2 linked regions of the Coturnix japonica genome follow. The protein of the gene in region 1 interacts with the protein of each later gene in a pairwise test. Links are inferred from orthologs where the notes say so. Each region holds a gene or a part of one and is shown in the gene's direction. Other genes may lie near its edges. The genes, in order: FHL3 and C17H9orf116.

Region 1 (16,115 bases):
GTACTTGGATGTTGCTAGCACACGTAATCGCTTTGTGTCTGAAGCTGACTGAACTGCCCAAGTCCTTGTAGTGTAGGTTGCTTTGCTTTCCTTCCTGTGGCTCAGGATGACGTGCCTGCTGTTCTGGTGGGTCCTGCATTCTGGTCTTCAGCCTCTTCTGGCATCAAAAGTTTGTAGAGAGACCAAGGGCTGAGGGTGCGATTTGACATGAAAAGATTACAGGCTGCTGGGCAATAATTACCATAAATGATGCAGACAAGTCCAGATCTAGAAGCAGCTTTTCCTCTTTCATCCCAAGCCAGTTGTGGCTCAGGCTGACAGCACACCTGGAAATGAGGTAATTGAATACTCTGCCCACATTGTTCAGATTAGCTGGGGTTTGGGCGCAAGCAGCACAATTGTTTTCTGTGCTTCTGGGCAACTTTTGTTCCCCTGCAGCCAGGAAGCCTTACTGGTGCAATGAGACAAGACAGGGTGATTCTCTTCCTTTCCTGGGAAAGGAAGGCACTCTTAAGCCAACTGTGGTGTGATTTCCCTGAGCAATCCCCTTTCCAGATGTGGAGACCTTGCTGCTATTGAAGTATGGGGCGGAAATACTTCCAGGGCTGCCTGAACATGTTATTTAGGTCAATTGGAAGGAAGATGGCAACATGAATCAGAGAAGGGGTTGGAAGAGGAGGAAGGTCATTAGGTAGTGCCTTGCCATCCCCTGCCAGTGTAGGCTTTTTCTCTGCTAGTGCAGAAGAACATTTAGAGATCCCGTTTGTTGTCTTCTGTACTCTGCATACTCCCGTGTCTGAGTAAGTGGACTGGAAATGAAAGAGAAGACTTCAGACGAAAGCTTTGCCGTTATCTCTTTGCATCAGTATGTCTCTTTCCTGATGGATTAGCTAATCTCTCTCAGAGATACACAGAGCAAGGTCTCCTCTTCGTTCCTCTGGAAAACAAGCTTCATCAGAATAATTGCTCTGACTACGTCCATTTGGGGTGAATGAGTCTCGAGAAGATGCTTTTATGGAAGCACAGCAATCCTGTTTTTGTGACAACTATTGTTGGCACAAGCTGGAGGGGGGTTCCCAGCAGGTGAGGGGCATGAGGGGTAATGCAGAGCAAAGCTGACAGGGCAGGCTGAAGCGATGGTGGTGGTGGTGGGAAGCCTCCTAAAGATGTCCCATGTGGGCAGGGCTTTGCTGAGCTCCTCGTTTCCCTTCCCAGAGGAAGCAGCCTGAATTCACCCGTTGCTCTGTAGAGACCTGTAGGCTAAAACAAATTATTCTTATGCAGTAGAAAACTCTGAAACCAACTTTAACTGATGAAGCAATTTGCCAGCATTTAGCCTCGAGGTCCCTAGTCCCTCAGGGCTCTCCAGTGCAACGACTTGAGCTGGTTTCCCAGAAAGATTCTCTTGGATATGTGCAGTTGGCAATACTCTGGCTTATTACTGGCCGTTTTATTTTTCCAAGAGCCAGCTCTTGTTAGCTTCGTTCTCACAGTATTGTTTTCTTTCTAGAAGAAGCTTTTGCTGGCTCTTCTAAGCCATCACATGGGAATTGCTTTACTAGCTTAGGTTTATTTTTTTTTGTTTTGACCCAAAGCTGCGCTTCGCTCCCCTCTGTAACACTGCCAACATCATTTCCAGTCTCTTTTAAGCATATGTTTTGCAATCATATCTAAACTCTTGGCTCCAAATAGCTGCCTTACAGAGAGATCCGTATCTTTTAACAAAGGAATTGAGAAGCTAACAGTGAGAACAAAAGCAATATCTTGAGAGTCTTTAAGCCTCTGCTGACCTTTCCCAAAGGCCTCAGCTGAGGATCCTGCATCTAGAGAGCAGATGGCAGAGAGCAGGGCGGCCTTTGGTCAGTTTGCAGTTCTCTGCCCCATCCCTGGATTTGCTGGAAATGTGCACTGCGTATTGTTGCCATCTGGGATCAAGCGTGCTATTCTTACTGTCTCCGGGGAGCCTTCTCCAGCAGAACCCATCTCTGATGGATGTCCTCTTTGGCTGCCCTTGTGCTCAGGCTTGTATTAGCAGTGTGGATTTCTGAGATGTGACAGCAACGTTCTTCAGAGGAAGACTTGGGAGGTGTCTTGTCATGGCTGGGAAAGACCAGTGAGCTGAGTTCTCCAGGTATCCAGTTGGGTACCTTCTATTGAACCAAGCAGCAATGAGATCACTGTTACCATCTTCAAAACTTCATGACAAACAGCTGCAGCAACGCAAAGGCTCTTGTTAGACCAACTGATGAATTGCCTTTGCTTTCCATAGTTGGAAGACTTGGACATATAGGTGGCACGACCAGTCAGGAAAGCAACAGCAGAGCTGGAAGTATGTTCTGTGTTTCCTGACATTAGGATGCTTCTCCTTGGCTTGCATCAGTGCATGAAATGGAGGTTGTCTGACCTGCAGAAATAAGGGTTAAGGTTAAGCAAATTGGTGTTTCTGGGAGTGAAGTTTCTCTAATTAGCACGTTGCTCAATTTGGGTTGCAGGTGAGTTGAGAGGAAAGTTGGAGCTGCTCCTTGTGTTTTTTACAGGCTTGTTGGTTATTTCTGTCCTCATTGATTCTTTGTATTGCAGTAATGTCAGAGATCTGAAGGTTGTGTATTTCAATTAAATTTGTGCAAAATGGCTTCGGGGCAGTTTCAGCTTGGGAATCTTTGTTGTTGTCCTTGTAAATATCAAACCTGACGTACCAGACTGAAATAATGCAATCAGGATGGATTTTCTGTAAATATTTCTTAATCCCTCTCAATTGTCATTCTTAAAACTTGGGCTCAGCTGCCATCTGTCACACAGGCAGAATGAGGGCTCCGAGCGGGGCAAATAAGAGCCCTTGGCGGTGCTATTTACACAAGTTGGAGGTGAGCTGGGTTCGGGAGCTGCCCAAGTTACTGCTCATCCACTTGTACCAGCTGCTGCTGTGTCTGGCACAATTTCCTGCATTGCTTTTTAAAGGCTTCTGTATGCAGGGACAGGGGGGAAAAGGTAAAGAACATAACAGAAGATGAGAAGATTGACATACTCCATAAAGTTCCTTTCCTGATGTTGCATGCTGTGGAGCCAGCTCTCCCTTCAAGCTCATCCAGACTCGTTGCCATGCTGTTCTGAGGGTTTTACCTTTGCACAAGTGAGCCTGGAGCTGTGTGTTCTCCATCCTTACGCAGGGTGGATGGCCAAGCCTCAAGAGATGGGAAAGAATTGGGCACCGAGGTCATGATGGGAGGCTTCGTGGTTCTGCATGAAGTGTCTGTTTATAGGAAGAGCTGAGCTGATGTGAAACAAAAGGTGCTTGGTGCTCCTGGAACTGAGATGCTGGGATACAAGCTGTGCCAAATGCAGAAAGAAATTAAGAGCAGAACCAAAATCCTTCCTTCCCTCTATTTTGAGGCTCAGCTGTTTGGTGTGGAAGGAACAGCCCTGCCTGCGCAGTCGTCCCTTAAGCATTTAATTGTTGGGAGGCTACATCCCTGTTTGTGCTTTGTCTTATAATGTGTGCTCAGAGACCCGCATCGCTTCCAAACCCCCATGCTCCATGTGTCTGACTGCGTGTGATGGATGGCTGACTGCTGAACCCCCAGCATCCGTCTGCCTTCTGCTCCAGCCCAGACTCTGTCTTGCTCCTTCCTCAGTCCCCGGAGCCCTCCAGCTGTGCTTTGCTTGGGGCCCATCTGAGGCTCTTATTGCAACCATCTCCCAGCAGAACCAGTGGGACAGTCCCAGGAGGCTCTTCTCAACGTCTGTCCCTTTGTCCCTGGGTGTGTGGGACTCCAGCCTTGTGCTTGCTGGCCCCAGGGCCTCACTCAGCCGCATTCGGAAGGAATCATAGCAGAGTTAGACCTGGCAGATGGAGGCCTGTTACCTCACCCCACAAAAATGCTTTGTTATTGAGAAAATGGAAACTGTCTGAGGTTTGGGAGCTGAATGGAGTCATTGGTGTCTGTTTTAACCACAGTTTGGTGGTGGCTGCTGAAAGTTCCCCTTGCTGAGCATTCCCTTTTCCTACACCCATAATCTTCAAGTCATCGGAGAGCTGCAGTGATTTAACTATTAGCTGAGCGAACGCTGAATGCTGCTGCGTGCTCTGCAGGAACTTCGCTAAAGCCTCAGCATCTTCCAGCAGAAGTAAAATGAGCTGCTAATAAATAACCCTTTGCAAACTGTTGCCCAGAAAGGTGATCCATGTGCGTATGAAGCCAAATTCAACTTCCTTTTATGATCTCAGCAGTGCCCCTTGTTTACTTGATTTATTTTTAAAGCTCTGCACTAAGATTAGGCAGGAGCTTCTTAGGGGAGAAAAGGCATGCACAGACACTGGTGTTCTGTACCATGGGTATCTGAATCCCAGCTCAGAAGAGAAGTTTCATCTTGCCAGTGTTTTTATAAGATAGATTTCAGTGCTGGGGAACTAGGGAGAAAGAACACAAGTAGGGATTCAACTATAAGCAGGCTGGTTTTCCTATTGCTCTGCATGATTCAGGTGAGTCAATACAAGCAAGCTCTAACTAAACACAAGGCTTGTTTTAGTTAACAGATAACTGTGTGCATTTGTGCCACTGTAGGATCTGATATACCCTGCCAGTATAAAACATTATTCACTAAACACCCTATTAAAACTAAACAAAGCAGTGTTAGCTTTTTGGAAATAAAAATGAGCGTTTTATTTATGTGCATTTAAACTAACAAATCTTCGTAAGCCAAATTGATGTCTTCCAGCTGCTACAGATGTTTTTTACATGACGAAATATTTCAGTGCTTAGAAAAACCTAGAATGCTGGAACCACGAGATATTAAATATTTAATTATTACACTGGAATGTAAATAGGGTCTCTCGATATTTAAAATCTGTTTACTCAAATTTCAAGTGCTTACTTAGAAACTCTTCAATTAACGTGGTTCTTATCTTGTTACTTGGGAAGAAGAGTGATGACTTGGCATCTCCCTCCAGATTTCTTTCAATATCAACATGGGTTTTAGTAGCAGTAATTTGGTTACCTGGAGAGATCATCCCAGCTGCTCCAAGCAGAGCCAGGGAGTGATGTCTGCTGTAATGGCCTCTTTCCATTTGAGATCCCTGCTTTCTGTGTGTTTGCAATGCAACCATAAAAATCCTTTCCAGGCTGAGCTCTGGCTCCTCAAGTCTTCGGGGGATTTCTTAATGCAAAACGCAAATAGCAAAAGCAACTGGCAGTTGATTTTTCAGACTCTATCTTTGCAGTGCAGAGCCCATTGTGGACATGTGTTGTTCCTGTAGTTTTAAAGCAACCTTATTTCTCAAATGATCCAAGCCCACAGGATTTCCCTTATGTATGTTTGGGGTTCAGTATTTTCTCTTGCAGTTTGGATGGTGCCTGCAGATCGTGCTATTTCCTACCAGAACAGTGTATCAATAGCTCAGTGCTACAGGGGAGAAATGTCTGTTTCAGGGGGCTTTTTAGGCTCTTCTAATGAACCAAAAGAAAGGAAATAACAATGTAAATGTCTATCTGAAAGGACAGAAATTCCTCTTTGAGGTCCACAGCTGATGGCAGGATTCCTACGTAGCACTTAGGATACAAGGGTGGTGAAAAAACAACAGGGAGGAGACCCCGAGCTGTCTCTGAGCTCTATTGTCAGAGTGGAGCTCCCAGGCACTGCCCCGAGCTGCTTTTGTTGGGCTTTTGACCTCACCTTCGAATTCCACTGCCCTCGGTTAAGGAAGAAATGGTTTTAATGGGTCTTAAGACTTAACACAGCCTGAGCTGAGGTGTAGCCCTGTGTGTTACATTGCTGCGGTGCTGTATTCCAGCTTCTTGCTTTGAAAGCCCAAAGTTCCAGTGCTGGGAGCTACACACAAAGACTCCTCATTGCTCAGGTGAAAGGTCTGGAGCCCAGGTTCAGCCACAGTGCTGGGTCTGCTCACCTCAACCTTTCTTTCCCCCCTGCTTCTCACATAGAACAGCTTGTGGGCTCTGTTTGGATATAGATCTGTAGCATGCATGAGTGGACGTCATGTTTTCCATGCTGCTGCATCTCAGGAGGAGAAGGAAGCTTTCTGGTTCCGTTGCTGGCCAGCAACGTGGATCTTAGTTCCTTTTTTAGCCCTGCCAAGCTTGCCTTGTGCCAAAAACCTTTGAGGTGCAAATCCCAGGAGGGAGATAAAATAGCTCCGTGCCCTGCAGGTGTTGTAAGGGTAAGTAGTGCTCCTGCTGGTGACAGCTGCTGGGGAACTGACCAAGCAAGAATCCTGTGAGAGGAATGGGATGTCAGGTCTGTGGAAACTGAGCACTCTGGTGTTTATGGTCTTGCACTGGGTCACCATATGTACTTGTGTTGTTTGTGATGGGATGTCAGGGAGTTAAACCTCCTTCCAAGCAAACTAATCTTCAGTTTGTGTCCTGGGTGAGGGTTAGTTACTACCTGCCTCTTTTCCAAGCATATTAAACTTCAAATAGAAAAGGCAGTAATTAAAATCTAAGACATTTCGGTGGCTAACTTTAGCTCAGTGAACACTTTTCTACTAAGAAAACTGCTGTGATGCCTAAACAAGAGGTTTCTGGAATATGTGAAGTGTCAGAGGTACTTATTGAAGTCATTAATAGCAGAAAGTACACTGTGTTGCATGTAACTCAGCCAAGAGAACTTTTATTTCTAGTATTTCTCAACCCTGTGCAAACATCATGTAATGCACAGGAAGATTAATTCTGGCCTGTTGGGCTTGTATAGAAGTCTTGGATGTGTTGCTTTTGGAGAGCCTGAGCAGCTGTATGTGGAAAATCAGAAATGCATTTCATGTTGGCAGAGGTGTTGGACCATAAGCACACACTGCATCATGCTCTGTGCTCCGAAACAATGACTCAACCCAGGAGTGATGAAATACGTGCTGTCAGATCCTTGATAACTCTGAGCTTTAATTTCGGAAGGAGATGCAGAGCAGAACTTGGAATAAGAAGGGAAAAGAGCAGTCCAGGGATTTTGAACAGCTGGGCCCCAAGTGGATGGTGCTGTACAAATTGCACTGACCCTTTCCAGTGGAAATCAGTGAGCGCTGCTGTCTTCAGGAGGTTGAGAAGCAATTTATATCCAACAAATTGGAATCAGGGATTCCTGCGCCCTTTATGAAAATATAGAGTAACTCGAATTGTAAGAGTCCAATTTCATGTCACAAGTAATGAAATCTGAACCTGTGCAGGAAATAAAATCCCAGTGCTGATGTCACCATCTGGTTTATGATGTGGCTGCTTTTGTTCCTGGGCGAGCACTCGAGCGTTCTACAAGTGAGGTGCTTACAGGACAGAGTCCCTTGCACTGCACCTGCTGATAGTGCCTGCACTGTGAGTCAGTGGGAGCTGCCCCAGCACATCCCCAGGCTCTGCACAGATCCTTCACTGCCACAATGCAAGGTAACAACAGCCTGGAGGTTTGGGTTCCAATCTCTGCCAGCTTGGGGCACGTTGACTGTGAGTAGATTGGTTTTTGGTCTGACCTACGAGGAGAGCAGAGGGAGGTTTGTTGGGTGCTGGTGTTTTCTTGCTGTAGTGAAGCCCGATGTGCTGGAGTGCAGGAGCATGCAGCCAGCCCTGGGAACTCTGCAACTCTTGGCAGAGAGCAGCTTGCTATTGCTTCTTCCTTCAGGGACAGAGTGTGGAGCATCTCCTCCACAGCAAAGAAATGGGACGTACTTTTGCAACCTCTGCTTCATGGGCTGAGACATCAGCTCTTCTTTGTGTGGAAGTCTTCATGTAGAAGTTTCGAAGAGTCCAATTTTGGATCTATCCCTTTTTATGTGGGTCTCCTTGTATATCTCAGATTTAAGCATGATTATGAGGTTCTGTGAATGAGCCACAGGCCTGGATCAAAGGCTGGTTAGTGTTACTCTTTCTTATCTCTGTGTGTTTGTTCTGCAAAGGAGCACTTTTCAGCTGTTCTTGAGTTTCTGGGCAGTCAGCAAAAGTACTTTGCAGTGGCACCTGCCAGCAGCAGGGCTTGGGGCTGTGGCTCCTCCACACACAGGAAACTCCATGTTTAGTGTGTTAGTGATGTAGAGGCATTTACGCTTTATTTTGTGAGTGCTTGTGCCCGTTTATAATAGCTGCTTTCACTGTATGTTTTGAATGTGGCAAGTCTTCCCTTTCAGAAGTACCACCAAAGACTGCATCTCAAAGTATGGCAGGAACTGGAAAGCATGTGGGTTTCTGCACATTTATTTTTAGTGCTTGCAGTGGGTTATTTCTTCGAGGTTTTATGTAGAATACACAATAATCACAACTTCTGCAGCTTAAAGCGTGCAGCACTAAGGGTCTAAGTGAGAAGTGCTTTACCAAGGAGACTATTGATGAGCAGATCACCCAGCAGAGAGATGATTAACTCTAGAAGGTTGAAACTTACTTTATGTCTACATTAGCAGGAGAATGGCTCCAGGAGACCTCCCTCTTCCCGTGCCATGTCCTTCTTAGCTTGGCTCGCTGTCCTTGGGAGTGCTGCCTTTTTAGGGACGGCTGCAGCTGGCACATGCAGCATCTCCCAGGCAACAGAAGATCTTAGTTGTGTTTCGGACCACAGGCGAGTGGTTCTTGGGATGGTAACCTGAGACAGTTTGTCTTTGCCAGGATTCAGTCCTTCCCTAGAATTAGAAGTGCTCACATGCTGCGGGTTACAAAGCTGTAATTGCCTTTGCTTGCGAGGGACACAGCAGCTGTAAGAAGTGTGGTAGGCAGGACTGCAGGCTGTTGCACAAGAAGTGAGGGCAGAGGCAAAGAGGTCCCTGGCTGGTGATCAGACAGCAAGAAGGCAGCTGCATGGCATGCAAGTGGCAGTGCAGTGTCTCCCCTATCACCTTGGCTTCTGCTTTGCTCTGCTGGTTTTGTATGCAGATGCGGTGCCATCCACCTTCCTCAGCATCACTGTTATATAGGAGACTATGAATGCTACAGCTTGGGAGGCAGGGAATTGACTCAGAAAGAGAATATTTGGTCTGGGGGAAAAAGAAAATCCTTTTGCCCTTGAAGCAATAGGCAATTGTTAAATAAGATGTGTGTTCTAGATGTCTTTTCCTGCTCCTGTAGATCAAAGTTACTTTGTGTATTAATAAAGCATCAACAACGAAAACTGAAGTTGAATGGATCCTTAGTCAACTAAAGGGCTGCCAGGCTCTCAGGTGAAGGTGATTAATAAGGGCTGGGCTCAGACCATGCAGGATTGCTTTTCAGCATAGATGCACAACGCATGCACATGGCTGCATCTACCCCTTGCAGCCTGTCCATGGGTTGATTTTCATGCATGCTTAGAGACAAGCTTGAGGCTCCTGTGCAAAACAGAGACGTAACCTTTTATTCAGGGACTACAAAACGCTTTGTAAAAAGAAATTTAAATTATTCATTGCTTCTGAACTAAGAATGGCTTCATCCTCAAAACAGCTAGAGGAAACAAAAACTACAGCACAGAGCTGGAATTGTAAGAGAACATTAGGGAAATAAAGCAGAATGCCTTGGTTTTGCAGTGATGTCTGCACCCCATAGCAAGCACCTCGAGCAGCCTGATTCTTTTTTCTGCATGGAAGCTGTGGTGTCTGTTTGTATTGCAGGATCCTTGTGTAGTGGGTAGATCTAAGACGAAGGTAAGTTGGCCTCAGTGTGCAGTTAGTCATTTCCTGTCATGCTTTCATGTTTGAGTTGTAGTGTATTTGTTTTGACCTTTATTTCTTGGGGCAAAGAGGTTTTGAGACATTGTTTCTGGAGCCTTCATCCTGCAGTTGGGTAAGCAGTTAGGCGTCTGTGTGGCCATGGACCAAGTCAGCTGGGTTTTATGGTCATCAATGTGGGGCTGGTTGGTTTATTGGTCTTATTGTGGACGTATATTTGATATACATTTGTTTGGTGGAGAACTCTGCCTCCACGCAGGTGCCCCATTGTGATCCTGATAGGTTGGGACGGGGCTACAGCACACAGAGCAAGAAAAGCAATGCTACAACAACGAGGTAACACGAGGCCCACAAGCACCAGTTTGCAGTTTCATCTGCATTTATATATACCCTCTTTATGACTTTCTAGTTGAACCCTCATCCAGTTACGATCCCCCACCACCTTTTCTTGTCCATCACTTTGTAACGACAAGGGCAAAGGAGGCTTACTGATAGATTAATCCACCTCTAAGCAACAGGCACTTTCCAGATTAGCTCCTGCCTGGACCTGGTATGAAACCTAGGGGCTGGAGGCCAGCTGCTGCCCGTTAATTTGTTTTGATGACTATCTTTAGGGTTTGTTTGTGTTCTCTTGCAAGTAGGACACTGGTAAGCATACGGTCTGCTCAGTGCATCTGAAAGGTTTATTCAGCCCTGCGTAATAAATATATTCCTTATTCTTGCCTGATTTTCTAGTTGAAAAAGGAAAACAAGGGGAAACTAAAGAAATGTGTGGATTTGCTACTAGCAGGTTCTCCAAATGGGAACGGCCAGGCCCATCTATCTTAATAGCACTGCAGTTGAGGCCAAGACTCCCTAAGCATGGTGCCTTCAGTGAGGCAAGTCTAAAGACCGTGTGTGCTCTCAGCATGCATGTTTTTGGTATCCCTATTCCCATAATCGAATAAGACAATACCCTTCTTTCAAGTGGCATTCAGAAAGCGGTTGCCCACTTGATTCTTACTCCTTTTTCAGGCTTTTTTAATGCATCCAGCCGTCACTGTCCCAAGCAGTGAATCTCCTCTGATTGAAGCTCCCGTGCTCGGTCACACTCCTTGAAACTTGGCTCCAGTGTCTTTCTTCCTATTATGGTCACCCTGGCCATGTCTGCAGCTGCTACACTGCAGCCAGTACCACCTCCAGCAGCAGTGCTCATTGCAAGCTGCTGCCAGCGGGGCCTCCCTTGGCTCAGTTGGTGTGGCACAGGGTCAGGTACTTGGGCCACACTCTCTCCTAAACCTCTTCATAGACCAGCAGAAATCTCCTTAGGCACGTTTTGAAGCCCCATGTTTCTTGACCATCTGGTAAATGAGACTTCATTTTGCTCAGGAGAAGTTTCTGATGTGTTTGTATTTAACTGCTCTGCTTTTTGGACTTCCTCCTCGAATTAAGTGGTCGGTTTGAATCATGGGGGACAAGTGGTTTCAATTCCTGACTTCCTGTTGCATGCACAGAATTTGCTTACTTTGTATACATTTGAAATAAGATTAACAGCTGATCTCTTGAAGAAATGTTGAGTTTCCATGCCAGCAGAATGACACAGGGTGCTTGTTCCAAGTGGGTCCTTGCAGCTCTGCCTTCCACCCAAGGCAGGGTTTGTTGAATCTCAGTCCATCCCACCCTCTTTTCCGCAGCAGTGTGGAAAGTTGGATTCCCTTGCAGAGTGGCCTCATTAAAAAGAGGTTCTTTCTGTAAAGGACAAATGTCACAGTGTGTACAAACACTGGCTCAGAACTCTGTGCCATTACCTTGTATGGGGATGCTGCTTTGTGAGAGCCTGTCTTAGTAGCAGCAGGTTTTCCATTCATGTTAGTCAAGTTTTATGTTTCCTTATCTTCAGAGAAAGAATGAGGAATTTATTACCAGGGGATGAAGGTCTATGAACTCAGCAGTGCTCTAAAACCAGAACGGCATCTTGGAGTGCCTCAGAACCCTGCACATCCTGACAGTTCTACTATGTCCATATGGGCAAAGCAGCTTCTGGAGCAGGGAGGACTTCTGCCAGCCTGCCCAGGTCTGCTGGAAAGTCTTTAAGCACATCAAGGGTGAGGCTATTTCCATGTGCAAAGTGCAGATTCTGCATACAGTCTCTCAAAAGTGTGTTGACTTTCCTGGGAAATCTGACTCACTGTTTATAGTAGTTCATGAAATTAATCTCAACTAGGAAACAATTTGTTTTCCAGATCATCTGAAGTGTGTCTGGTCTAGCACAATTCATTGGGTACTTAAGTTATGCGTTTTGCTTCCGGAATTAGCACCACTGATTCTGATGCAAGAAGGCATAAAAGGAGAATCCAGATCACAGATCTTATGTACAGTGCAGGGTGTTTCCTCACAGCTGTGGCAGCCATCTCGATGGATGCATTGCAGAGTTCCAGGCCAGCAGTTATCTCCTTGTGCTTGGAGAAGCAACAATACTGCAGGTTTTTGGATGCCTGCAAACCAGGGCACAGCACCCCAGTGGTGCAGGTGAGCTGTGCTCACACTCTGCTGCTCCTGATGTCCTCTTATGGGCCACCCGTGGAGCTGGGAGGTGCAGCTGTGAGCAGGATGTGACTCAGGGATGCTCGGAGCAGGCGGGGCTCCGTGCAGGCAGGATCCAGCTGGTGAAATGTCTGGCAGCCTCTTGCCTCCCCCAGCTCTCACCTGGAGGCAGCATTTTGCAGCAGCACAGATGCTGGACTGCTGGCCCAGGCCTACAGCTCACAAGTTTAGGGGCAGAGGGGCAAAAGCCATCCCCATGTGGCTCCCAGAGGTGGGAAGGGGGACGCCTTTCAATCCCCAGCCTCGTGCAGGGGCCAGTGCTGCTCCCATGAGTGAGCAGCTGGTTTCCCTTTTAGGGTTGGACGAGAGGCAGAAACAATGTCACGCGGATTCCAGCACCCATAATGTTTCTGGAAAGCCAAGGGGAACAAAGAGCATTCTCCTCTGTTGACCTCGAAGCACGTTGAGGACCATCTTCCAAAGCTGCCTCGCCAGGAGGTTTCATCCTTACATGGGAGCCTGTCCTGCAGCACTGCACTGTGCCCACCGCGTGCCTGTAGGTGTGAAGCGCGAGCGCCAGGGCAGCAGGCAGAGTGAGGAGAGAGGCAGGAACCCGACACATAAAGGCAGCTCTATTCCTGTGTCCTGGGAAGATTAAGTGCTTCCCTGGGAATAGCCTTGTTGGGTTGCTCTGGGGTCGCCTGGTGGAGCAGCTGGTTGTGACCTGACAACGAACAACAAACGCATATGGAGTTACACAGGACTATAGGTTCACACTGTGTGTGAGACCTCATGGTAGCCCGAATTCACTCCAAAAGTGCTTAAACTCTAAAGTGATTGTATGCAGCAGAAAGTCTGGCCCCGGATCTATTCTTTGCATAATAGTTCAAGACACTAAAATGAATGTAACGATCTCCTGGGGCTGTTGCTAAGCCCTCTGAGGTGTTGCTGTGCACAATGACACCGGCGTGGTGTTACGTGCCTGGTACTCTCTAATTAGAAAGCAGCCTCTGCTGTGCGTCCTTGGCGAACTGCTGACCTTTCCCATACGTGCAGCTATTCTGAGCTCTGTTCCAGCCTGATCAGGTTTGCATCCCGGAACACTTTAAATATTGTTTGCGAGGGGAGCTCTCGTTGCCAAAGCTGTTTGTTCTTGGGCACAGGCGAGAAACTGAGCTTCCTTTCCTCTATGAGCACAGCTCTGTCAGGCAGAAGGATTGGGTGGGCAGCTGGCAGGCAGAGAGATGTTATTTCTGCCCTCGGACAGCTGCAGGAGTGCCCCAAGTCTGGCAGCCCTTGTCCTGAGATGGGTGAGTGGGTGAACGCTCTTTGGAATCCTATCAGGTTGGGGCAACACCTTGGTTGGTGTCTGGAGGCGTTGCTGACACCAGCCTAGCTCACAACTGGTGTTTACAGGGTGGTGCAGACTGCAGAGTATCAGCACATGCTGATTAGTGTGCATGGTGACAGCCCTAAAGTCTCAGCATCAATTTAAAGGGTCCTGAAGCCAGGACAGATTTTTAATGCATTTTAAAACTCCACTTATTGTCTTCACAAACTAAAACAGTTTCTCAGATCCTCGTTACAATCACAGTAAGAAATTGGGACTTTCGACCTATTCCTTTGTTGTGTTTCTTTTCTCTCACCTTTCTCTGTGCCTTGGTGACCACATCCGTGGGTGAAGATGTGGAGTTTGCTGTGGTGTCGTGCAGGATTTGTCACTGCTGCACAACGCTGCGTGCATGACCAGAACAAAGAGAGCAAACAGATCATTTCCTTGCAGCTTATCTAAGACAAATAACTCTGAGTAAACTTCCTGGGCCTGGGTTTTATTCTCTGCAGCACAGGGTCTGATCCTGTGTGCTCTCGCAGCAGCCTCAGCCGTGTGATGCTTCGTTCTGCCAACCCTGCACCTCACAGTTAGAACCAACAGAACCAGATCTGCTCGAAGCAGAAAGGAAGCAGCGCTTTGCTTCCAGTGCACCCATTTCTCCCAGTCTTTGGCACACCAGCACAGTGCAAGCCCCTTGTGAGCAGGGTGGGTATGGTTCTGGCATAGTACCATTCGGGCCATTGCTTTTGAGCAGAACTTGAAATACCATTTTCAAAGTGTTTCTCTATGGGTTTTGCTCCCTGTTCCATGCGCTCCTGCAGCATCACCACCCACCTCACTGTCCTTGCTTTGTTGCTGGGGACACAAGGAGGGACGGCCAGCAGCACTCAGGGACTGAGTGCATCTCACCAACAGAAGCCAAGGCTTCTCCCATCAAGCTTTTTTCCCCTTCCCTCGTGTTTCCTGATGTTCTCTAACCCCATGTTTTAGGACTTCAGAGACAGCACAGCCCATTAAGCAAACACAGTAGCTCCAAGCCCTGGCGGTATCATGGTTCCCAGGGCAGGAGTGCTTATTAGAGGCCCTTTTATTACAGACACACCTTGGAAAGTTCTTCTCTTCAACAGGGCTGGGAGGAGAAGAGTGGTAATTTCATTTGCTTTCTTCACCAGAGAGAAAGGTCCCAGGTATCTGCAGCAGTTGAAGGCAAGCAGGGTGGCAGGGGGGAGCACTGGGGGGTGTGGGTGCCACAAAGGGAGAGGGTGCTTGGGGACAGATCTGTGGCAGCAAGGGGAGCACTGGCACAAGCATCTAACTGGCTCTTTTGAATAAAGCCCCATCCCAGTGCTGGGCTGGGAGCTGTGAGGCAGAGCAGTAGCCCCGAGCTGCCAGTGGGGATGAAGCTGTCCCCTGGGGCAGGCGGCAGCTGGGTAATGAGCATCTGAATGGGGACTTTTTTTCCCTGTCCGCTGGTCACGTAGCCATGTGGGAACGCTGGATTTATTCCCCAGTAGTGCTATCAGCACATACCAGGCTTCACAACAGCTGGGAGCCATGAAGCTTGACCAAGAATAGCTCTGGGGAACTCATTGCCTGACTCAGAGCTGTCTGAAGCAGATCCTGCCTTGCGCCAATGGATTGTTGCTGCCCCAGGGGGGAACTTCAGGGCAGCAGGCATGAAGTGGGGGGCTCCCGGCCCCCCCAGGCACTGGGTTGGGGATGGAGCTGCAAGGCTCCTCCTGGAGCAAGTGGGATCCTGGAGGGAGCTGCAGCGTGTGGCTGTGCCATGACTGCTCAGATGTAATTCCATGGGCTTGTCTGCACTTGACAGCAAGCTGGTATTACATTAGGGTGTGAATTTGCAAGCGGAGAATTCCATATTTAGGAATAACCAGGTTCAACCAAACAGCAGGAAGATACTCTCGTTCTGGAATTAATGTTCCAAAGAAAGCACCCGAGTTCTGTACGAAGAAGGGGGCAAAGAGCGATGTCAGATTCAGATCTGCATGCAAACCCCAAACACCTCTCTTGCTTGTAAAGTACATGCCCTCCCCTCTGCTTGCTCCCTGAAAAGAATTTGTAGATGGAGCAACATAATGCGTGGAGCAACACGTGCAAGGAGGTTTGGTGGGATATGACTGCAGCCGGGTGCAGCATGAGGTGCCCAATTCCAGCTCCCCTGCTGAGCAGCTGCTTTAAAGTCCTGGAGCTGTTCCAGCTCTGAATGCTGCAGCTCTATCAGGCAGCGGCAGCCTGGGGCCATCCGCAGGGGTCCTGCCCTTGGGGGGCTCAGTGGGGGTCTCTGAAGGAGGCTGGTGGTGGCTGTCGCATGTGGAAAACAATTCTTTCTTTTTTTGATCCTCGTTTACCCTTTGTTTCCCAGCAAAGAGCCAAACAGTGCAGAGCTCCCTGTGTGCACGCATCTGGATTTCTCTGAGTGTGCTCGTGTGGTTAGATCCATCCCAGCTGTCCACAAGCAGATTTGGGGAGAGTGTTCAGCTGCAAGAACTCAGTTCCCTGTCCTGTTCTTGTGTCTCGGGGACATGGGGCACTGCAGGCACATCCCAGGCAGTGCAAAGCAACTCTGAGCAAGCACTCTGCTGCTCTCTTAGCAGGTGAAGGCAGCCCTCAGACCGGCAC
Region 2 (14,863 bases), on another chromosome or scaffold:
TCCAAGCTGCTCGGGTACTGCGGGGATCTCTACATCACGGAGAAGATCCCTCACAACTCCCTCTATGGAGCAGACATCCCTGCCTTCCTGCAGTCACTGCTGCCTGCTGCTGCCCACCAGCTCATCCACCAGTGGTTTGCACCAGCCTGGCCCCGACGGGCCAAGATCACCATTGGGCTGCTGGAGTTTGTGGAGGAGATATTCCACGGGACCTATGGGAACTTCTACATCTGCGAGACCAGCTCTAGGAATGTGGGTTATAATGATAAATACGACTTCAAGATGGTCAACCTGAGGAAGGTGGCGACAGAGATGACAATCAGAGGGTTCCTCAAAGGGCGTCACTGTGAGCAGAACGTGGACTGCACCTATGGGAAGGACTGCATGGCCACTTGTGACAAGCTCATGAAGCAGTGCAAAAGTGACATGGTGCAGCCCAACCTGGCCAAGGTCTGCGGGCTGCTGCAGGACTACTTGCTGTATGGGGCACCGCCTGACTTGAAAGAGGAGCTGCAGAAGCAGCTCCGAACTTGCATGACCCTGAGCGGCTTGGCCAGCCAGATGGAAGTGCACCATTCTCTTGTGCTGAACAACCTCAAGACCTTGCTCTGGAAGAAGATATCCAACACCAAATATTCCTAATGGGGTCCAGAGTTTAGAATCTGAAATCCCAAAGTTCAGCCAAGGCTCAAAGGCCTGCTTCCTCATCCTCTCCCCTGCAGGAAAAAATACACCCTACCCAGGGAGTTCAGCATAGCTGCAGCGCCTTTGCTTCCATGAAAAGCCAAACATCTCGACTTCCACCACCCAGCAGGATCGTTGGTTGTCTGCACTGACAGCTGTGAAGCCGGGCTGAACAAGTCTGGGGGAAGGAGGAGGAAAGAGAAGGAAGCAGAGCCCAGCTGGATGCATCTGCTTCTTGATTAACAGGAAAGCAGTGCAGAAAAGATGAGAATGAATCATTCATGCTGTACTTGTCACATCTTATTTTGATGAACATCTCTGAAGTAAATAAAGAGCTTTTACGTGAATCACACCACTACATCAATAGCAAAACAACAGCCTTTTAAGTACCAGCATTCTTGTGATCTAAAAAGAAGGATGAAAAAAAGGTAGATTTTCAATTCAGGAAGTCCCTCCTTAAGCATCTGAATCATCTACCATGAGATCCAGCCACAGCTTAGGAAGTGGATAAGCTGCCTTTTCCACAGCAGAGAATCCTGGCAATTGTTTCACTGCTTTTTGTTTAAGTGCCTGACCCATGACAGTGATACGATGGCTTTGGTGAGGATCTCCACCCAGCTGCTTCTGCCTGTAGTGTCAAACTGTCTGCCAGCAGGTACACGGGCCATTTCCCCTTCACGTGCCAAGTTTGGAAGCACATAAGGCAAGAAGAGCTTAAAGGAAACCTAAGGGCTACAACCAGATTGGTTCTGACCAGCTACCATATATTCTCCACGTGTTACTTCCCACAACGTTCAATCACACACAAGGATAAGCCAACCTTTCAGTTTAATGCTCTAAGCTGGGTCACCACTGCAGAGGTTAAAGATTAATGCCAGAATAATCCACTTCTTCACCCATTATCCAAATGAATTTCCAGAGAACCTCTCAGCAGGTAACATTTGCTTGGCTGTGTAAATACTGCAGCTCTTTACCTGCTCTCTGTTTCCTTTCAATGCTCTCTTGCAGCAACCTTTCAAAACCTTCAGGTAGGAGAGGAAGAGTTTATGCAGATGACCTCAAGCGTGCTCGGTTCCCAGCACTGTTCCCAGCACTGTTTCTGCTGGCAGTGTATGCTGCTGCTCCTGCCAACAATTGCTTAGCAAAGTGGAGCATATATCTGAAGTACAGTCACTGAGGGGGAAAAAAAAGAATACATTTAAACAGTATATATATGGTCTGTGGAGGTAATCTGCAGTGTCACAGCTGCAAAATTATGGGCCCTTTGGAGGATAAATATCAGCATTTCCTTCTATTAGTTCTATAGGATCATCATTACCTCTCACTATTATTTATGAAGGATATGTTTCAGTGTCAACAGCGCTCTAAATCTAGCAGGGAGCTAGCACAGCTTGCTCCCTGCAAAGGAGTCAGCTCCACAGCATCATTCATCTGTGGGAAGGCTGATCATTTGTACAATTCCTGTGTGTTTGAAAGGTTGCAAGTCATTCAGTCTGTTGGAGCCAGCCACCCATAATGCAGTGGTGATACTCCACCTCCAGGCACTGTGCTGCTAAATGCAGGGACAGATCCCTGTGCCAGCATGGAAAGGCTGTTTGGTGGGGAGGGAGGGCAAGGATTGGAGTTCTTTCAGTGAGGCTTCACATAGCTATGCCCAGCTCCATGCCTGTTGTCCCATGGCAACTAGTTCCACTGACAAGATCATTTCCCTCTGCTATGAGCAACAAAAACCTAACAACCATACCAAATCTCATTTACAAGAAAGCCATTTTTCACCCTTCCATCTATTCCAAACCTTAAACTCTGCTCTGACAAATGGCACTCCTACTTCATTTCATCCCCACTGCTCCCCTCCCCAAAAGCTATTACATAAAGCAGCAGGTAAGCAACTAGAGATGGACAAAAACATGTATTCTTTTCTTGCTTACCTACATCACCATAAATACCATCTTCAGGCATTTACAATGAGAAATTGTTCAGGAAAAGACAGCCCATGTACTGAAGGGAAATAGCTCAGACACTTTATTCAAATAAAAGACTTTTGACAAAACCCAGGACGTTAACGTGTTATTATTCTGCATTCCCCATTACCAGCACTGGACAGGCACCTGGGATTCAGACTTACCTATGACTCACACATCCCAAGAGCACCAAGTTTCATCATCACTAACACAATGCACAAGTGTTTTCAAACAAGTGATTATGGTTTACGAGCTGCAGTACAACATGGAAGAGAAATGACTCAAGGCAAAGCTATTTTACATTGTAACGCCTCCTCCCAACTTTCCACATTAACTGGAAAAGGAGCAAGAGCCAGAACACTGAAAGGCTGATAACCCAACATGAACAGATGCTGCTGCTTTAGCAGTGCAAAAGGTTTAAGTGCTAGAAGGGGAATGAGGTAGGAAGCAAGCTTACAAACTTTATTGTTTAAGGTTAAAAAAACAAGAATCACAATTCTCATATCCACAAACACATCCTAGATCCTAAGGTGTTTATAAAGCAATTCTGACTGGCAGGTCAGAACTTAGCACTGTTCTTTATAAACCGTTCTTAGCCATGTGGTAAACATGGTCAAAACAAGTGCTTCAGAACATGGGTGTGAAAACAGCACAAGCTAAGATTACTTGTAGGAAGGAAATATTACATGCACTCGCATTGGCTGCAGCTTGCTTGAACCCATGTATGAATAAGATGGAAGTTTTCTGCATCTTGAAATGCCAAACCATTTCTTTTCCTGTAGCCAGGCTTGCTAGAAGTTCTAGAAGTTGAGCAAGATCTGAAAATCAAAAGCACACAGGATGTTAGACAACAATGTCAAATAAATACAGCCCATAAAAGTTAGCAGTAGTGTCAACACTAAGAAGAGAATTAACCCATACCATGGAAACTCCTGCTATTTCACCATCCTACAGTATTAAAGCTAAGAAATCATACTTCAACCCAGAACAACCAAACTACACTCACTGAAATCACTGCAAGACAATGGAAATCTGAGTGCCTGAGAACCTGGGCAGACCAGATCCAAACAGTGACAGAAAGCACTCAAATTCAGATTACTTTAGGAGGGTTCTATGCCTTTACATAATATTCACAGCCTGGGATTGCTGCTCAGTCATGGGAATACAGTTAGTAGCAAATGGCAACAGGGAAATTTTAAGACATGCTATGCTTTACATGTAAAGGTCTTAAAGAGCCTCACCAGGCACTCATCCCCTGTACAGCCCTTTGATGTGAGTGCTGATGGAAAAACACAACTCGCATTTCAGGGTTAAAAGAAGCCACGAAACTTAAATGGAGGGGTTGCATCACAGTGCATGCCTCTACACATAACCATATTCCCAACCACCTTATTAGCATTCTTTTCCACCACCACTACTGGAAGGCAGTGCCTTTTCCCAATTAAATGGCTCATTTTGCAGCCAGCAGACACCCGCTCGGCTAACGACACCTCTGGCCCTTGTAATGCCCATTTAATGCTGACATTTTCCAACATTTAGCAGTGCCAGATTTCAAAAAGCTATTAGTCACTGCAAAGGCTCGCAGTTTCACAATGCTGTGTGTAGTGAGAGCTTCTCACTTGCTTTAGGAAACATCACCAGCACAGCAGATGCTCCCACGGACCACATCAAGCAAGGAATGACAGTGATGCACCAAACCATTGCAGCACTTTGGTACCTGAGCTGCCCTAAAGGTCACATTTCCTTGTCACCATGCTAGCACAAACACAGCAAAACCAAGCAAAATAGCCCAATGGTGTTCAATTACGTGCAATTGAATTTTCACATTTTGTCTGCTGTGGTGGAGCTCAGCAACACAAATAAGGAAGCTGCATCTTGTCTTGAGGAACAGGACAGAGCACTCACAACCTTATTTCTTCAGTATCTCTCCACCACCATCTCACCACACCACAAACTCATGACACGTTTCCAGCAGCATTCTGTATTAAAATCATTTTAGTAACAGACTGAGGTCTGAGTCACGTTTCCAAGCAATGGCATACTACCTACCTTTTAAATCTGAAGGAAACTGACCGACAACTCAGACTTGTCCTCACATGTAACCGCACAAAAGTATCTTCATTTTTCTCCTTGTAAAAGCAAGCACAGTTTTTAAGACATTTCAGAAGATGCTGACTGCACCTTCTTCACATACTCAGCACCCTTGGAAGGCAAGAAGTTGCTGACAGCATTTAACAAATAATAGCAGAAGAAAGCAGTTTTCTCCCCATATGCTACATCACACCCAACTGCTTCCAGACCAAGCTAGAATTGCCCACACTGCACAATTTAAGGTTAATGCTACAGAAAAACAGAGAAAGGTAGAAATATTTGTCAGGTCGCTAGTCATTCCTGAGTGCTCACGGGTTTCAGAGCATTAGCAGACACAGCCTTTTCCTTTCTGCCACCTAATGACACAAACATGGCACTGCAGCCATATCTGCAACACGACTGGGGCATGGATCTGTGTAATGCATGAGCTGCTATTCACTACTGCTCACCTCAGGTTTCTGAGACCTCTTCAGACCTTTCTGCCACACCACCTGCCTCTCTCTGAAAAAGAGCAGATAATACACATAGCATTGATGAAATCAAAGCTGGTTATCCATTTTCTTTTTTAATGATGCCAAGTAATTGAAAGGTCCTAAAGAAGGGTGAATCTAGAAAGATGTGTATTACATGCATGTGTTTTACTTCCAGACAGGAAATAGGACTGGGGCTGCCAGCACACATCTCCCAGCACCCGGACATCCACAACAGCTTTCTATTGTACTACACCCTGATTTCATACTTAAGGGTAAATAAAGAAACCCAACACAACAAGCCTGTATCTAAGCAATGTCAGGCTATCAATCACTCTGAGTGCTCACCAGTTGCAGAGCAAACGAGCGTAGAACACAGCCTGTCCATCTCTGCCACCTAATGACACAAAGATGTCACAGCAGCCACCTTTGCAACGCCTGTGGCAGGAAGCAAATGAATCAATACAGAACAGAAACGAACCCATTTAGATTGGAGCAGCTCTGTGCTCAGCACTGCTTACCTTCGGCTTTCCAGGAAGGAACATCTTTTTCACTGTGCCCTTCGTCCTATGCTAATAAGGGCATAAAAAGAGAAAGAATGTGATTAACAATGGATGCTGAGCCCACTAAGTAACCCCTTTCTAAACTGTAACTCTTCCTATCAGTTCAGAAAATCCAAAAGTTAAAAGCTAGGGAAAATAATCGCTTTTTAAACGGATTCCTTACAATTATTCCAGTCTTTAAAGCAGACCAGGCTGCAGCCCTGCTTTCCCCCTCCTTCCCTGGAAGTGTGGGAATCAAATGTTGTTTCTGCATTTAGAATAAGATAAGAATATTTTATTTCTAGGTCTCATTATATAAGTGAAGCAATTTGTAGTTATTAGGTAGAAGTTATTAGGTACAAAGACTGCAGCTCCTGTCTGTCCAGCTGTCTGAAATAGAACCACTGATTTTTGGTGCTGGACAAATAAGACCTGAGTAATAAAGGATCCAAAGAGGAGAAGTTAAAATAATTAACTATATGCCTGTATAAACTAGTAACAATGTATGTTTTAGTGTTTTGTTGTACGCATTGTAAAAATATACAAGTCGTGACATACCTAAGGATGTGCCTGAAGAGATATCGGGAAGGTCTGGAGCCGAGGCCTAGTGCAGCATGGCGCCCACGCCGGGCAGAGCCAGCAGTAACCAGCAATATAAAGCTGCATTTCCCCGGTAAAAGGCATCGTGCCCTCAGCCTGAAGGGCCCAGAGGAGCAGCCAGGCGGGCAGCGAGGCCTTAAAGTCGGCCCTTCGCAACGACCACAGCCCTAAGGAAGAGCTCCACACTCGCCGAGCGCCACGCCGAAAAGGCCGCACCGCCTCCCGCCTCCCGCTTATATAGGGAGGGCGGCGGAAGCGCAGCGAGGACAATCCCCACTGCGCTTTTGCTCCCTCGAGCGCCCCCTGCTGACGGGAGGTCGGCATGGCGGAGTTACCCCAGCACGGATATAGAGGCGAGGGGGCAGGATAATGGCAGGACACCACCCTAAGCACTCCTAAAGGGGCACATGGATAATTAAGAGCAGCACTGCCCTTTTTATGGCAGTCCCCTGCAGTTTCTGAGCTCCCATGGATGCCCTGAGATCCCCCAAGTGGGAACAATCACACCTTTATCCCCTCATAGTGTTTCTGCCAGAAAGTTCCCCACCTCCCCATAACAGGGAAAGAAAGAATAGGATCAAAGGCCCCTTTATTTATTTGTGGTGTGTGATACAAATGGCTTTGCAGCATTTCACAACGGGAAGGTCACAGGACAGAAGTAGTGCTCCTGGCAACAACAAACCAGCACAGAGCTGCCCACTGGCCCCACTCCATCTCTTAGACCGATTGCTCTGGGCTAATTCTTTTGGAGCTGGAAATGTCCCTGTGTGACAAACAGCCTGTGATGCCATGGGTACAGCACTGTAAAGTGGAGCAGAGTGCCCACCTCCAGCATGGAGATGAGCCCCCATGGTCAGGCCTGGCCACCAGACAGCACAGGGCGGTTTGTATCACTCTTCTCTTGGCTCTGCAGCTCCTGGAAGACTTCAAGTTGCTTCCTCTTGTTCTTAGCACGGATGATGGTCATCTTGAAGAGCTTGCAGTAGAGCTCCATGGCAGTGGGGCTGTCGTCATTACCAGGGATGGGGTAAGTGATGAGGCACGGGTTGCAGTTCGTGTCCACCACCCCCACCGTGGGGATGTTCATTTTGGCAGCATCCCGGATGGCCACGTGGGGCTCAAAGACATTGTTGAGGCTGCTGAGGAAGATAAGGAGGTCGGGCAGGCGGATGCCTGGACCAAATTGGATGTGGGCATTGGTGAGCAGGCCGCCCTGCCAGTAACGTGTGTGAGCGTACTCCCCACACTCCCGTGCTGTGCTCTCAATCAGGTGGCAGAACTGCCTGTTGCGGCTGACGAAGAGGATGATGCCTTTGCGGTAGGCGATGTGGGCGGTGAAATTGAGGGCCAGCTGGAGATGCTGCATCGTCTGATCCAAGTCAATGATGTCCTGGTCCAGCCGGCAGCCAAAGATGTAGGGCTCCATGAACCTGCAGGGATGAAGGGGGGGTGACACGCAGGGCTACTGGCATGAAGGAGAGATTTCCAGTCCTAAAGAAACCTTCCCACGGCCCAACTGCCTGCTGATATCAGAGGGGTGTTTGAGTTGGAAGGGCCATCTGGTCCCATTCCCTGCACTGAATGGGGACACCCACAGCTCCATCAGGTGCTCACAGCCCCTGCAGCTTGACCTTGGGTGTCTCCTTCACTGCTGTTATAGTAACAAAAGAACCCAACCCTGTATCCTTACACCCAGTCTAAGCCTCCCCTCTTTTAGTCTGAAACCATCTCCCCTTGTGCTATCACAACAGACCCTGCTAAGGCAGTCCCAGGTTTGGTGCTGCCTCCAAAGGCTCGTGTGCCCTATAGAAACACAAGGATCACACAGCATCACTCACTGATGCCGACATCCCTTCTTGTGCCCCAGGTGCACTCGGGCATCGAAAAGATCCTTCAGTGAGAAGAGCTCCTTCACGTTAAAGAAATCGGGGTGGCGGAGCGGCTCGGTCAGCAGCTTGTCCTCCAGATCTGGGGGAATAAAGAGAAATCACTGCAACCCAACGTGCAGCAGGGCCGGGATAGAGGGGAAGGGCCGGGGCTGTGCCGCACTCACCGCGGGGCCGAGCCGCTGCCGTCAGTGCCGCCGGGGCGGGGAGGCCGCTGTAGAGCCGCTCACCAGCCCTTAAGAACCGCATCACCGCCATCGCTGTGCCCGAGGAAGAGGAAGAGGAGCCGAACCTTCCGCTTCCTCTGAGTTGCTGCCTGGCAACGCGGTCTCGCGTCCCTCCATGGCACAGCCGCAGCCCGCCGAGGGCCCCGCGCCCCGCAGCGGCCCTTGGGTGAGCAGCACGCTGCCCCAACGCTTCCTGCAGCTCTCCGGCTTCCGCGGATACGGGTGAGCCCATACATGTGCCCCCCACAACCCCACACCCCCAGCCCCTCTGCCCTGTGCCCGCCTCGATGCCGTGTATCCCCGCAGGCAGCCGGAGCCGCACCCTCTGTACCGGACGACAAACCAGGAGTACGGCCGCAGAGCGCCCACTGCGTACGAAGTGCCGGTAGGTGCGAGCCTGGAGCTTGAGCATCATCTGCACAGTGATGGGTTTGGGGTCCCACCACACTAACCTTCCTCCCAGGGCACTGCGAACCTTCCTCCTGCCCAACACCCTAACCCTCATTTTGGCAACCCCACCTCGGACCCTGCGGCTCTGAGCCACCACCTTGGTTTCAATCCATCACAATGAGCTCTTGGAGGGGCGTTGTGATGAAGTGCCCTTAGAATGCTGTCCAAGCTCCTGCAGGCTCTATTGGTGTTGGTGCTGATCACGTCTCTTCTCGTTTCTTTCTCCTTTTCCTGCTCAGAGCTCCTACCACGTCACCTCACACGCCTTCTCAGACAATCTGGGACCGCGTGGTATGTACCGGAACGACGGGCTCAACACCGCCCTGGAGAAGAGCCGTGTCACCGGCCCTGCCAACTTCATCACCCCCTACGACACCCTCGACTTCCACCCCAGCTACAAAGTCAACGGGCCCTCGCATTGCTGAAGCAGAATGAAACCATTTCAGTTTATTGCCGGCTGTTTAGTTAAAAAAATCACTCCCTCCCCATCTAAAAAGTCAGGGAAACGACAGCACCGACCTTACCCCAAACCCGCTGCTAAACCTCGTTGTGAAGCACCACGTTCCTCTGGTTCGGTTACAGCCATGGCTGCTGCCCACAGGCTGCAGGTTATCTCTCCTGAATGCAGTGGGTTGTCGTGGGATGTGAGCAGGAGATTCAGCCTGTAGGCCAGCTGTGGCCTTGTGGGTGTCCTAAATTTGCAGAGCTGTTTCAAAGCTGTTGTCTTAATAAAGAAACATATGCAGGAGCCCACAACACATAAGTGATTCTGACAGTTATTTCTAAGGGGAATGAAACAGCCCAGACTGTCAAAAAGAGCTGACAGGGCACAGCGAGCAGGATAACACACAGACTCATGCAGTTAAAATGGTTAAACTGGAATTTAATGAGAACTTTTCCTCCTGAACACAGTAAAGAATCTTTCAGCTTGGTAACAGTGTGACAAAACAGCTGCATTAGCAGGTTAAAGATAACAGTAGAACCCCCCCCTCCCCTCCCCAGACTTCAAACTCTGTATTGCTTTTCTAACAGGACTCCCAGCTTGTTAAGGCCTCGTTTAGCTTTGGAGGAAGAACAGATAACTCTGTTCAGCTAAAGTCATTGAACATCTGAAGTCCAAAACTGAACAGCCTGCCATTAAGCCTGTGTTTTGTGGTGGGTTCAAACAAGCTTAACAAACACTTCAAACCCCACGTTGCAATTAATTTAGTTATCTCAAAGGCAAAACCAGCCAGCTAAGTTCTAAAAACATAACAATGTATATGAACAAGTAAATACTGGGCACAGAAATGGGCCTGAAAAGTTAACTTCTTAAATATTCAACGCATTGAAATAGATAAGCAACCTTCTCTCAATCGCTGCTATTCCTCCGTTAGACTCTTGGTAATGCGTTGAGTTTTTCTTCTCTTTCTTCTCCTGCAATGAGAAGTAACATTAAGGGCAGAATTAATGCAAACACTTGTGTCAGTTTTACAAATACTTCCATCCACAGGTTTTTTTTCCTGCAGGTGGAATAATTTAAGGATGGAGCTCTCAGAAATATAAACTTAGTGGGTTTTGACACCTATTTTCCATCTCTTTCCATACTCAAATCTAAAACATCGCCCTGAATCCTTTAATGTGTTGGGGTAATGTTACCCCATGTGCTCCACTGAGGTTGGCTGAGAAGGGAGCAGTGTGTGAGCTCTGGCTGCAGCCATCCCTGAGCATATATGTTAATAAAGGAGACGGTGGCAGAGATGGAGTGCTTCTTCCTTTTATATAAAGCAGTCATGAGTTGAAACAGGTTCCTAAAGTAGCAGCCAAGAGCTGCTTATGAAGAATGAAGGCAATCCTTCTGGTCCTGAGGTTGAACCCCATGGCTCTGTCCTTGTATATACTGCCAAAACTGCACAAATTAATTCCCTGTGAGGGCTGAAATAAGGATGGTGCTCAACCAGTGCCTTTATGGCCATCAATGGAGAAGCCAAAATGGGGTCAGCTGGCTGGCTGATAAGAGATTCTTCTTTTCTTCTTGTTATTAAGAACATTCCTGTAAATGGCCACATCACTTAAGATCTCATTCACAAGGACATCACACTCTGCTGTCCCAGGCGATGATGGCCTCAGGTTGCTGGTGGCTGAGAGAACAGGATGAAAGGTGAGAAGCAGCAGAGGAGCCGTGGCCCTGCTCTGAGGTTCAGCTAAAACAAACTGGATTGACTCCGAAGGGGGGGGACATCCTTCACAAACAGGTGATGCTGACATGGATAAACTGCATCTCTGGACTACAGACAGGAGGGAAAAGCTGTAACACAACACACTGCTCACCCATGTTGGAGACACAAAGCACACAAGCACTCTGGCTTCATGGTCCACAGTCAGAACCCCATTTATTAAACATTATAAACGTATCAATGTACACCATTTCCTATATACAAATCAAGTTTTATCAATTAATTTTTAAAAAAGTGCTGCTTGAAATTAGCTTGTATTTAAAGCACAAGGTCATCAGAATTGCATCTTCACTGGAAGTGAATCAGTTCACAAGTAGTACTGAGAGACACAGACACACCAACAGGAGCACAAGACACCTCCGTAAATCTTGAGGTTGGGTTAGTGAAAAACACTGAAAGACATCCAGCTTATTTCATACAAATGGTACATAGTGCTTCCACCATCGCTACTAAGTATGGTTTAATCCTTTGAAAGCAAGGTACTCAGAGAAATTCTATTTTAAAATACAGCCTATTCACCTATCTCAAACAATAATGCCCAAATCCTGCAACTGAATCAAAGCAGACACAGAGACATGCCTGTGCAAAGGTCCTGCAGGCATGAGCTAAGTTAAAAACCACTTTTCCAACGTATCCTACCACAAAAATGAAGTGAGCCAGCAGTGAACTCCTCCACCAGCCAGCCCAAGGTGGCCTGACAATAAGAAATGCCAAGTGACCGCTATAAGTATGTTTAAAATGCAACTGCACGACAGTATAAACACACAAAGGATGTCTTCTATTTCTCTACACGCCACAGTTCCTTTTTCTACTCTATGCTACGCTGCAGTTTGCCAATATTCTGCAAATGCAATCACATCTGGAGATATTAAGTGATACTGGATCCGTTCTTGACTGCTTTCGCTCCATTTCTGAACATTAAGGCCAGCCTTTAGGAAGACTGCTGAAGTGATTAAGAAACGAGGTAAGCCAAAATGGTAGTCTGGCTTACAAGCTCAGTAGAAGACTGAATAAAGAGAGCATCAAATCGATTCACAGGACCAGGTGCAGGAACAAACTACTCAGAGGACTTCATTAGACACAAGTGAAAATGAAAGAACCAGTCAACAGCTTCAATTCACACCTTTTGGATCTTTGAGTGGAGCTGGTGTGGAACACTTCCATCACGATATAAAAGCATCGCTCGAACGCCATTTAAAGTCAGTTCAAATAGAAAAGACAGTAGTGAAAAATTGCTTTATTCTGGGTGCTGGAAAAAGAGAAAACTCTCTAAAGTATGAAAGAACAGTGCTGAAAATATCCTTGGCGTTTCTGCTGGGGACTTCCTACAGCAAATATAGCTTTGCTCTATTGCACAAAACTTGTAAATGAAAGTTCACAGCAATGTAACATCTTAAAAACCACGTCTGAAAAAGAAAAGTAAGGGCACTCAGTTGAAGAAAGTTCATTTGGAAAAATCCAAACGTGGTGCTGGGTAACTGCAGGGCATCAGAATTAGACTCAAGGGTAAGGAGAAAATTGTTTCAGCCTTGCAGGCCCAGCTACACCCAAGCCTAGTGACATCCACAGATCCACTCTGCTGGAGTTCTGCTTGGTGAGTTCACTCTGCAGTCCCTGGGGACACAGGATTGTCCTAAGGCAGCTCGAGTGTAAACACATGGCAGGCAGTGAGCTTCCAAAGCACTGCGCTGTCAGTAATTGCTGTGTTTGCCTGGGATCTCCTCACAGACCGACAAATAACTGACAGGTTTCCTTTTAACCATGATTAGAAGCCTCATAATTTAAAGTATGATTAGGCGGCATCTCCTAATCTACAAAAGCTACAGCATTCTGTAGTAACATAAGCACTAAAAATCATTATAAAAAATACTTCCTTAGAAGGCTTTAAATAATTTACAAAATTCTACAAAACCTAAGCACGTTTATCCACAATATCCCTGTTATATAGAAGCATTTTTCACCTTAGTGTGTATATGATACGCGTTTATCGCCTTCTCCCACCATCTCCCATGTCACAAGTTCTATTAAGGGAATTACAGTGATAGTTATTTTCTAAAGACTTACTGTGGGAGGACAAGTAAAAAGTGTACTTACTTCTTTGATACCTTTAATTTCATGAGGGAATCTGGGTTGTCCCCTGCTGGTGTGTCAGTACATTTTGTACAATCCTTCTCTAAAACTTCCTGGCCTTGGTCTGGTTCACAATCAGGTTCCCTATTCTGCAGGACAGGCACTTTGCCTTCCAAACCGGAGCTGGATCCCTTTATTTCTGACTGTCTGTCACTGTCCTGGCAGGTAATGCCTTCCTTCTCCACGCACATGTGCACACTGTTACTTGCACATGCTTCTCCACTAGCTTCATCTGCTCTTACTGCTGTCACATTCAGCTCCTGCGGTGCACAACCCACATGTGGATCTGGCCTGCTGTCCTGCTGGTTATTCTCTCCATGACCACATATGTGTATACTCTGCTGGCATGTTTCTTTGCTAACTTTATCTGCTTCTACCACTGCCATATTGTGCTGTAGGAGTGGGGGACTGACATTTGAATCTGCCCAGCTGTCTTTGTGGCTATCTCCTTCCTCAGTCCCCATCTGTACGTCCTCAGCTTTGTTTGTTTCTCTGCAAACCTTATCTACTTGTCCTGCTGCCACACTCTGCTCCTGTGAGGGGAGATTCAGATGTGAATCCATCCAGTCGGCAGCAGCCTTTTTGCAGCCCTCTGCTTCTTTGAAATACAAAGGAGCAGCATCTGGTCTTTCACAGGTTTCTGCTACATGGGGACCTGACACTTCCACAGTGAGCTTCTGAGAAGAGCTGGATTCTTTTATTGCTGTCTTATTCTCCCCACTACATTCACCTTTTGGCAGTGGGGCTCCTTTTTCCTGCTTAAGTACATCTGTATCCTGGGAAGCTACCTCTGTTCCTGATGAGCTGCACTGGCTGAGCAAATGCTCTGATTTCTGCTTTTTGTTCAAAAGCATGGATTTCTTCCTCTCCCGAGCATGTTTCAGACCTTCAATAAATTTACTCGAAATCTTTAATTGAAAGGTGTTCTTTCTTTTAGACCTAGACTTTGCATTGCTTACTTTTCGTCTTTTACAACCTTCATTTTTCCTGTTTTTAGGTGGAAGTGTTTTCCGCACAGGCTCTGTATTAGGGACATCCTTTTTACCTGTTGCTTTCCCAGGTAACTCACCAGCAGCAACACCTTTAACCCCCACCATTCCTTGCTTAGCTTTTGACTGACCAGTAGTATTAAAAGAAACATTCTCTGCAGAGGAAGCAGTTTTCCCACTGTCAAGTAACATTGCACTTTTCCCTTCGGTTCTCTGAGAGCTCTTCAACTCATCAGTCTGCTGAGAGCCCTTAGTCTTTTTAGTCTGACCCAGCAAGAAGTCTGTCTCATTTTCAACTGACTGTTGCTTCACTTTTCCTTTATTTGCAGTTTGTTTGGTCAACAGGTCTAGAGTTGCCTCATTTTTTTGCACCTCAGAATTGCTTGCAGAGTCCTTAGCCTTTTCTGCCAAAAATTTCCTAATTTCTTGTTCAATGCTGTCATCACTGTCCACTGAACTGCTATCATCAGTGCCTAACGCAGCTGTGAAAGAACCTCTTCTATTTTTAGCTATCTGCAGGTTATTCTGGTTTGAAACGGGTTCAGGTTTACACCCTTTTTTAAGCTGTAAATCAAACTCTACGTTCTTCACGGCTTCTGGTCTTTCACTCGAAAGGC

What was found.
Region 2: the proteins of FHL3 (region 1) and C17H9orf116 interact in binary tests that used the Homo sapiens proteins (3 or more experiments, as listed by UniProt). The two-hybrid records come from large-scale screens. The link is inferred for Coturnix japonica from reciprocal best matches to the Homo sapiens genes FHL3 and PIERCE1.

Annotation. Positions count from the first base shown.
Region 1 is NC_029538.1:3,103,654-3,119,768, forward strand, and holds the start of FHL3 (four and a half LIM domains protein 3), read left to right. Parts: upstream 1-7,243; 5' UTR 7,244-7,375; coding exon 7,376-7,382; intron 7,383-16,087; coding exon 16,088-16,115. UniProt on the Homo sapiens protein: Recruited by SOX15 to FOXK1 promoters where it acts as a transcriptional coactivator of FOXK1.
Region 2 is NC_029532.1:6,214,233-6,229,095, reverse strand, and holds C17H9orf116 (UPF0691 protein C9orf116 homolog), read left to right. Parts: upstream 1-8,551; 5' UTR 8,552-8,576; coding exon 8,577-8,683; intron 8,684-8,767; coding exon 8,768-8,846; intron 8,847-9,150; coding exon 9,151-9,336; 3' UTR 9,337-9,669; downstream 9,670-14,863. Other genes in the region: DIPK1B (divergent protein kinase domain 1B), read left to right, coding at 1-642; MRPS2 (28S ribosomal protein S2, mitochondrial), read right to left, coding at 7,202-7,778, 8,187-8,316, 8,402-8,492; PPP1R26 (protein phosphatase 1 regulatory subunit 26), read right to left, coding at 10,273-10,327, 13,222-14,863. UniProt on the Homo sapiens protein: Microtubule inner protein involved in the attachment of outer dynein arms (ODAs) to dynein-decorated doublet microtubules (DMTs) in cilia axoneme, which is required for motile cilia beating.